Linked DNA regions of Bombyx mori. Each later gene encodes a partner of the first gene's protein in a complex. Links are inferred from orthologs where the notes say so. Each region holds a gene or a part of one and is shown in the gene's direction. Other genes may lie near its edges.

Region 1 (4,292 bases):
GTAGTTACCGGCGGCCACGATGAGAGGGTTCTCATGTCGTGCCGCTTTATCGAAGTGGCGCATGGACGCCGACTGCAGATACTTACTGATGGACTCTAAGTCCAGGTCGTCATGGAGGTCGACGTTCCTGACGAACCACGGGGCTCCGACGGCTATCCTGCAAAAACGGGATTGAATAATTTGGAATGACTTTAAGTGAGTGCGGGCCGCGTGAGCGAACACTACACTTGCATAGGTCATGACGGGGCGTATGCAAGTTTTGTAGAGTGTCACCTTATTTCTAAGGGACATTTTACTTCGCCTACATATCATCGGGTAGAGACGTCCTAGAATGAAGGCGGCACGATCGCGTACCGTCTTGATGTGGGGGCGGAATGTCATCCTACTGTCGAGGGTGACGCCTAAATATTTGACCTTCGGGGCCCACGGTATGGGCTGGTCGAACATCGTGATTGGGCGAACGGCGGGGGCGGGGGTATTGACGCGCCTAGTCGGGAGGGGGATGCTCAGCGTGGTGTTCGGAGGGCGACCCCTTTTGAAGAGCACCGCTGTGCTTTTCGTGGGGTTAATGTCGATGCGCCACTTCCGGAACCACTGTCCCATGGTGGTAGCCGCGGTCTGAAGTCGTCGATGAAGCAACGCCTTCTTCCTACACGAGTAGTAGATGGCGGTGTCATCGGCGAAGAGCGCCAGATGGGTCTCCGGAGACCGGGGTATATCGTTGATATACAAACTAAATAGTAACGGGGAGAGAGCGGAGCCTTGCGGGACTCCGGCTGTGACGTGACGGGGCCGGGAACGCGTTCCCTCGACTCGATATTGGAACGAACGGTTCGACAAGTAGTCTCGTATGATGAGCACGAGTCTGTCTGGCACTCCCATGTTATACAGTTTGTATATCAAACCGTTGTGCCAGACTTTGTCGAACGCCTTCGCTATATCGAAGAAGAGGGCTCCTGTCGGAATGGGACGTGCAGTCTCCTCTCGAAACAAGCTTTATATGTTAAATCTGCTGTACAACAAGTCTATACACGATCAAGCACGCACGACGCAGGACCGCTCTGATGTACGTCCACGTTATTCACTGTCTATCTGCACGACGTTCGCAGTGCTGGGGGCGCTCGCTGGATGCAAAATTGATCGTGTAAATCCAGCAAACAATTAATATCGACAATGATTATCGACGTACGTTAAGCCTATTCTTGGTACTTTTGCATCGTGGATCGTGCATGGCTTTGGCGGGACGTACAGCAAGATGGAACGTGTATAGAACACTTTAGCAGTGCATAGATTATACGCTTATACATACATTAAACACTTAATATGTCAAGTTTATAAGCTATGGTTTGGTGGATGGTTGACGTTGAATAAAGTGTAAATTAACATATATCTGTATTTCTAAGCTACATTCAACTACATTGTATATTTGTATATTGTATACTAAGCTAAAGTTGTGGTTTTCGCGTACCGTATTATTTTTACGTTTATGTACACCGATATTCGCTTTGGTGAATTCTTTAACGATGTCTTTGTGGATAAAAGAAAACTGTGTATCATTTTTCCAACTATTTTGTATCAAAGTAATAAAGACCGGCCGAGTACCCCAACACATAGCATTCATAATGGATGGAAACAGACGTTACGCGAAAAAAAATAGTGTCGACAAGAGTACTGGTCATCATAAAGGTTTTGACAAGCTTTCTGAAACCTTAAAGGTGCAAAAAAATATTTAATGTATTTTATTGCTTAGTTAGTCTAAGTTAATTTTAAGTTTTTAATAAAATATTATTTAAGAATATTTTAGAATACTAAAAGGTTTGATAAATTTAAATTAGTTCACACATTCTGTTTTCAGTGGTGCCTTGATTTAGGAATACCTGAGGTAACTGTTTATGCATTCAGCATAGAAAACTTTAAGAGAAGCAAAGAAGAAGTTGATGCACTTATGGAATTGGCTCGAGAAAAATTCCAAAATCTCTTGGATGAAATGTAAATATAAATATTAATTTATTCATACATCATCAAGGGTACAGTGGTGGACTTCACGTCTAAGGAAAGCATTCTCTGCTGGTCAATGAAGGATAGTAGGTTCCATTATTATATTGAAATGTAATGAGATCAAATCGTATAGTTTGAACAATGAGTGATATTTTTAAAATAAATCAAATATTTCTTGGTTCTACTCGTTCGGTCTGATTATGTTTAATTTATCCAATTGAGTCAAAATTTTCAACAGCTTTTGGTAAAAAACTAATGAAATTATATGTTGTTTCAAAATATTTATGTATTTTCATCAGATGAAAATTAAATTGTTATTTGGGCTTTAGATAACGATTTTTACATAAGATAGTGTCAACTATGAAGGTGCCATTGGTTTTATCAGTAAGACACTCAGTGTACTTTTATTGAAGTTGTGGTAGCCTAATGTGTATTTGTGAGTCGTGTGCACCGGGTACGGTGGGATGGTGCTTTGCTTTGATGGTGTCGAGTGCGATGTTCCACAGGGGTCGGTCCTTGGCCCTCTCTCGTGAAACATCGGCTACGACTGGGTCCTGCGGGGCGCCCTTCGTGCTCCTCTCCCGAATCTGAGGGTAGTTTGCTACGCAGACTATACTTTTGTCGTGGCCCGGGCCCACATGGTGTTAAGTGGTTACTGGAGCCCATAAACATCTACGACGTAAATGCGCCACCCACCTTGAGATATATGTATAGATATAGTTATAATATAAAGAGTGGCCAGAACATTGATGTCCAAAAAAATATTTAGTTCCCTCGTGTTGTGAGGTATCCGAATCACCCCCATGTATGTTCCGCGATATTTGATAGTTTTCGAGTTATGAATTTTTTTCTAATTTTGGAGAATTTTCGACATGGCCCACTTAAAATAAAAAAAAAATTAGATTTTTCGAGACTTTTTTTGCAACTAATTCTCTAATTTATCTTATATTCTCTAATTTGCAACTAATTCTACAAGTTGTTCTTTTACACATAAAATAATCAGCTTCGTAACTTTTATGGAAGTTGCAAAGATTTTGGGTTAAAAAGAAAAATTTACGGTCTGTGAATTAGACTTACATTTTCAACTTTAAATAAAAAATCTAAACAGGTGATTAAATAAGTTTCTAAGTAACTTTAAAAAATGCGCTAGACTCTTAGCTTTCATAATCAATAAAAAAAAGCTTAACGGGCTACTTTGGCTAAAATTGACCTTCAAAGAAAGCTAGGTGGAAAATTCTTAAATTTTTTTGGTCTTACAAAAAAATATATTTTGACAATTTTATCATTCTTAAGGTTAGTTTGTTTGTTAACAAACCAAAATTGACTGCAGAAAAGCTAAGGTCTAAGCATTTGGAGGTAATTTTTTTTAGTTTTTGCGCGATCTGTTCTTGCCGGTCATGAGATGTAAAAACGAGCCGAGAGGATAAGAAAAAATTATAATTTTGCGGGTTTGATTTTTATTACACGTTGTTATTCCTTCACCGTGGAAGTCAATCGTGAATATTTGTTGAGTACGTATTTCATTAGAAAAATTGAAAATTGAAAAAAAATTGAATTGACTTGAACACCGGTGCATCGCTCAACACGAATGCACCGGACGTCTATCCCTAAGGCCACGACGACTTCAAACCTACTGTGGAAGAGCAAACCGGTCAGCGGTGTATCACGTTCCGATCCGGCAGGCTGGTTCTGGCCCAGCTGAGTATCCCGGAACACCAGCGACATCGCCCGGGCGGTCTGGTAGGGCCTCCGTACCGCGGAGACAGGCGTCGTTGGTCGTCGACTATCGGCTCGACGACCCGTCGGTCGGGCGTCCTCGGGGTGGCGCCGCGTGTCTAGTTGTAGTGTTGACCGCGGGAACCCCTTACTCTGACTAGGTTCTGACCCCGGACGGAGATCAGACGTCGGGTATAAGACTGCAGGGGAGTCGTTTAGTACATTAGGGCCCTACAATTCTTTGGGCCCGCACACTGCTCCAAACACCTTGCAGATCGTCAAGTCCCACATACCCCGGGCGCCCCCTAGGCGCGGGTACCTTCTAAGAGGTTCGGCCCCAGTACCGAAACAAAAAGGTTAGAGCCCCGTGAACTCAACTACTCACTCGGCGAATCTAGTATAACCCCATGTAGTTACTAGAATAGGTAGGAAGAAAAAAAGAAACTGCAATAATAGAAAATCGATGATACATGTTCACACTCTGATGATATTATACAATACCATTGTAATAAGACCCGCAACTTGAATTGATTGTGTTATTTGATAGCATTTATAGTATAATATAGATTGATAGTATT
Region 2 (4,266 bases), on another chromosome or scaffold:
AGCTCCTAACGACCGTCCCAAGGACGGATAGCCTACTAAAGATAGAACGCTCATACAAATCGTGTTTACTCCCGTTTCAATATGAGTTTTAAGTAACTCTCCGATAGGCGGCGTTATCTCTAGTAAGGGCATCCGCTTATCTGTCAAAATCGGCCGATTACATGTTTACCTTTTGAAATTAAATAGCTATAATTTAATTAGTGTTTCTCTTCATAATGGCATCTTGTAGTATTGATGATAGTGATTTGGAATTATTTCAAATGATGATAGATTGTGATGCAGATAGTGATAGTGAAGCCGATATCATATGGTTAAAAGAAAATAAAGAACGTCCGAATTGCCTTTCTTGACTGAAAAATATATCTTTCAAAACTTGAACACAAAAAAAAGTTATCAATGTAATTTATAGATACTGACAAAATTTATTTTATTTCACTGTAGCTCTATATCAATTAAATTATTATTATACACATTATATACTTAAAATTATAAACGAAAATTTTAAAGCGTTTTGGAGGCAATTCACTATCGAGTAACAGAAAACCAACAGAAAAACAAACAAAAGAAACTGACCACTGCTCATTGGCAAACGGGCGGTCAAAACGTTTCGTTTCATAACTTCGACTAGTATAAAAATAACAATACGTCCAATTTAAAAAAATATACATATCGACGCTTGAAAGGCAAACGTGACTAAGCGACAATAGCCGCTTTATACATAAATGATAGGCAATAACCATATTCGATGCGCAAAAAAAATATATTTCTAGGTCTATTAAAATAATTTCAATCCTACAGCTAGATTCGTTAATATAGATTTTTTTCAGGTATTTCGACTTTAAATTAGTCTACAGTAAAGTTCACGCATTGTCGCTTAGTCACGTTAGCCTTTCAAGCGTCGATATGTTTTTATTAATTGTTATTAAAAACAAATGAATTTATGATGGTCTACGATATGATTGCTCACATAACATCTGCCCACACCAATGATACTGGATGACGACCACGACCGCTCTGACAAGAGTGATACGACATACGATACGATATGATGGTTAAATTACAGTTATGATTTAGACTAAAATAAAATAAGTATTGAACCTGATGTTGTTTCATATTTGCAGTAGAACGAAACGTATGAAGAGGCTCGGATAGATCAGAAGGAAGAAGCTATCCTCTGTTGGTTAAAGATAGATATCCGTGATTGTGAAACGCAAGCTAAAAATAGATACGCTCTTACTGATAAGCGCAGATAGCTATCTATCGGTAATCTCAGATAGGTTATTGAAAACGGGCGAAAAGAAATACGAACTAAAAGTTGGAACATATCCATAAACGACTTCCACTACGAAGCAATAACAATAAAAAATAATAACAGCAATAGCATTATAAAAAGAACACACTACATTTATAAAATATATGCGGAGATTCTATTGATACCTTTTGCGAGTACGCTACCTAACGGGTTCTTGCGGGCAAGGGAGCGTCGCGATATTCTGCTTAATTCTGGTGCAAGGTGGCTGGTGGAATTAACACTATGATGTTTATGGGCTTTGGTAACCACTTAATACTAGGGTTCACTTATCTGAGTAAAAAACCTAACATTCATGTACTAATCATCGATAGACTTTCGCTATCGATAGCTGCTGACCACTAGCGCAAGCAAACTGTGACGCAAAACCGCGTGGAAATGTCATATAAAAAGTTCCTCTAATCTGTAAATTCATTTTTGAACGTTGGTAAACATTGCATACTGTCCACTCTTAAGCTCGTGATTGGCTGCTCTTGAAAAGCGGCTGTCTAATATATTAAGTGTATAATCTATGGACTAGGCCGTGTGATCATATAGTAAAGATATAAAGTTTTCAGTTCATATTATCTCGAAAATGTTGAAATAAAATAATACTATCGTTACATACGTCGCGGATAATAATTTAATGTGAATTATGCTGTCACGATTGCTTCGACAGTTCTTGTTTGCTTTGCTACATTTGATTTTAAATTTTATTGTTGGTGCTCAGAATGTCTATTGCAGATATTGGCTTAAAAAGCACAGTTTACAAGACTATGAGGTGACAAAAACTGATTTAAAGCTAATAGTGAAGCATATACCGAAACTCAGTAAACAACCAAAGCATTTAGTTGTTTTATCTGATAGCGATTACCATTCAATAGATGATTTGGCTCGAATGGTGATATGGAGTTTAGTAGCCGGAATACCGTTTTTAAGTTTTTATGATGTATCAGGTGAGTTAAAATATGAATTTACACTACAATATAAAAAATAAATTAAATATTATTGTTAACCACTTGGAAATTCATAAAACCCAACCCAGGATTTTGTCGATTTTGTGATAAGAATCTATTTTAGTATAGAAATTTAGACTTGTAAGAATAGCACTTCTTTTCTCAATAAAAATATTTATTTAATGCAACATAATAAAAAAATAAATTAACACTAAATTAATTCTCAGCTCTTAATTACAATATTTTCTAATTTAGAGTTGATCTGCATAATTTGACTAATGTTTCAATACCCACTGTCAGATAATTGAATTTGTTGGATTATAGAGTACTGTCTAGTCTCCAGTAGTCTGGAACTATTTTGAAAACAGTACCATGTAAGCTGATAAATGACATACACAGCTATAACCTCTGACACAAAATAACAGATTTTTTAAATAATTCTGTAATATGTTATAGTATATCGGATTACAGCAGGACCTAAATTAGACTGAGGCTGAAACATCAGAGATCCTCTGTATTATTGAATAAACAAAATATAAGTTTGAAATCTTTATTAATAAAACTTTGCAGGTCAACTTTCATATCAAGAAGAAAAACTTTTTAATGCAGTTGAGAAGAACAAGAAAGGTGTTCCGGGGTGTATAAAATGGTCAAAGAAACCTGATTTGAATGGGTATACAAATGGCATTCCTGCACATAAAATTGTTGTGAATATTTTTTCTTGTCAGAACGGACGTTCCACAATTACACAATGTATCAAAGAAATGTGTGAGGAAAAAATTCCATATAATAGAAAAAGTGACCAAATTACCGCACAAGAATTTGATGATGTGATATCAGCAGTATACCCTTCCATTCCAGATCCTGATTTAGCATTATTTTCAGGTCCAGTTTGTTGTACACATGGTTTATTGCCATGGCAAATAAGACTTACAGAGTTCATAAGTTTATCAGTTGACTATAATTTAAGTGTTGAAAGCTTTGTAGGTGCTATGTATAAATATAGTAAATGCGATCAAAGATTTGGAACGTAACTTGGAAGTGATAGTAAATTAAATTCAATACTAGGCCTAAGTAAATTTATTATTTTAATTTATTTTACAACAGTCAAATATTGAATGTATTTGTAAATAGGCGAAATTCATAAACACAAGAATGAGATTTTTAAAAATGAGTGCCAAGAACTTGTTTGATAATTTACCAAAGTAACATGGTCTACATATTATAGTATATTTCCTATATATCAAATTATATTAAAATTAGGTAGGTATGTGCCTGTATTTGACATGGTGTTATATTTTGAAGTATATGAAAATTTAATTCTGTCGATGAAAATAATTTATGCATCGCTGATAAAACAGATTTTAATTTCCTTTACATTTAAAACAGAATTATTAATTAGGTAACAGCACAACATGATTTTGGCATGTTTCTATCTTTTGTATCATCAAATATTCAAGTGCATATTATTCAATATAGTTATGCTTGACTCATATGACTCAAGGAAATGCTGTAGCAGTTTATATTTGTGGTGTAATAGTTAAATACTGTTTTTATTGTAAATACTAAATTTTAATAAATTCACCACTGATTAGGTTATTGGTTTGATTAGAGGTTAACTCTAATTAATTTTTTGTAAGGATTTCCTTCAAATAGTTCAGGAAAAATGATATTTTGTTTTTAGATTGAAATGAAAATTTAAATTGAAATATAAGTGTAATTAATGATGAGATCAGTGATACTTTCATTTTATCTTATTCTTCAGTTTTGTAGTTATTTATCATTGGTATTTTTAATGTAATATTAGTAGGGCATTGCAAACATCAATAAACAGGTTACATTGGTAAAACTTGTTTTTTTTTTGCTTTTATAACATTTTTATACCATCATGCACAGAAAGGACAAAGAAACGAAATTTATCAATATAGATTCAAAAAAACTTTATTGGAATAACGCGATGGATCATTGATTGTTGCACACTAAAATACTATACACAATATCACTAAGATACACTTCAACGCG

What was found.
Region 2: the proteins of Dhdds (region 1) and dehydrodolichyl diphosphate synthase complex subunit Nus1 are in contact, whole or in part, in a crystal structure (PDB 7PAX), measured with the Homo sapiens proteins. The link is inferred for Bombyx mori from reciprocal best matches to the Homo sapiens genes DHDDS and NUS1. Residues at the interface, in NP_995583.1 of Homo sapiens: Arg37, Arg38, Glu81, Asn82, Lys84, Arg85, Arg159, His160, Ile162, Ser163, Val166, Arg167, Met169, Ala170, Trp171, Val173, Glu174, Pro180, Ser181, Ile183, Ser184, Glu185, Leu188, His199, Glu209, Val210, Arg211, Leu212, Ser213, Asp214; in NP_612468.1 of Homo sapiens: His137, Gln138, Pro193, Glu194, Lys197, Ala198, Ile200, Val201, Ala204, Gln205, Phe207, Cys208, Gln209, Val211, Ala212, Arg217, Pro218, Thr219, Leu221, Asp222, Val223, Leu226, Asp237, Pro246, Val247, Asp248, Ser249, Thr250, Leu251, Gly252.

Annotation. Positions count from the first base shown.
Region 1 is NC_085119.1:4,398,619-4,402,910, reverse strand, and holds the start of Dhdds (dehydrodolichyl diphosphate synthase), read left to right. Parts: upstream 1-1,274; 5' UTR 1,275-1,523; coding exon 1,524-1,715; intron 1,716-1,855; coding exon 1,856-1,989; intron 1,990-4,292. UniProt on the Homo sapiens protein: With NUS1, forms the dehydrodolichyl diphosphate synthase (DDS) complex, an essential component of the dolichol monophosphate (Dol-P) biosynthetic machinery.
Region 2 is NC_085129.1:11,412,587-11,416,852, forward strand, and holds dehydrodolichyl diphosphate synthase complex subunit Nus1, read left to right. Parts: upstream 1-1,312; 5' UTR 1,313-1,943; coding exon 1,944-2,244; intron 2,245-2,814; coding exon 2,815-3,278; 3' UTR 3,279-4,093; downstream 4,094-4,266. UniProt on the Homo sapiens protein: With DHDDS, forms the dehydrodolichyl diphosphate synthase (DDS) complex, an essential component of the dolichol monophosphate (Dol-P) biosynthetic machinery.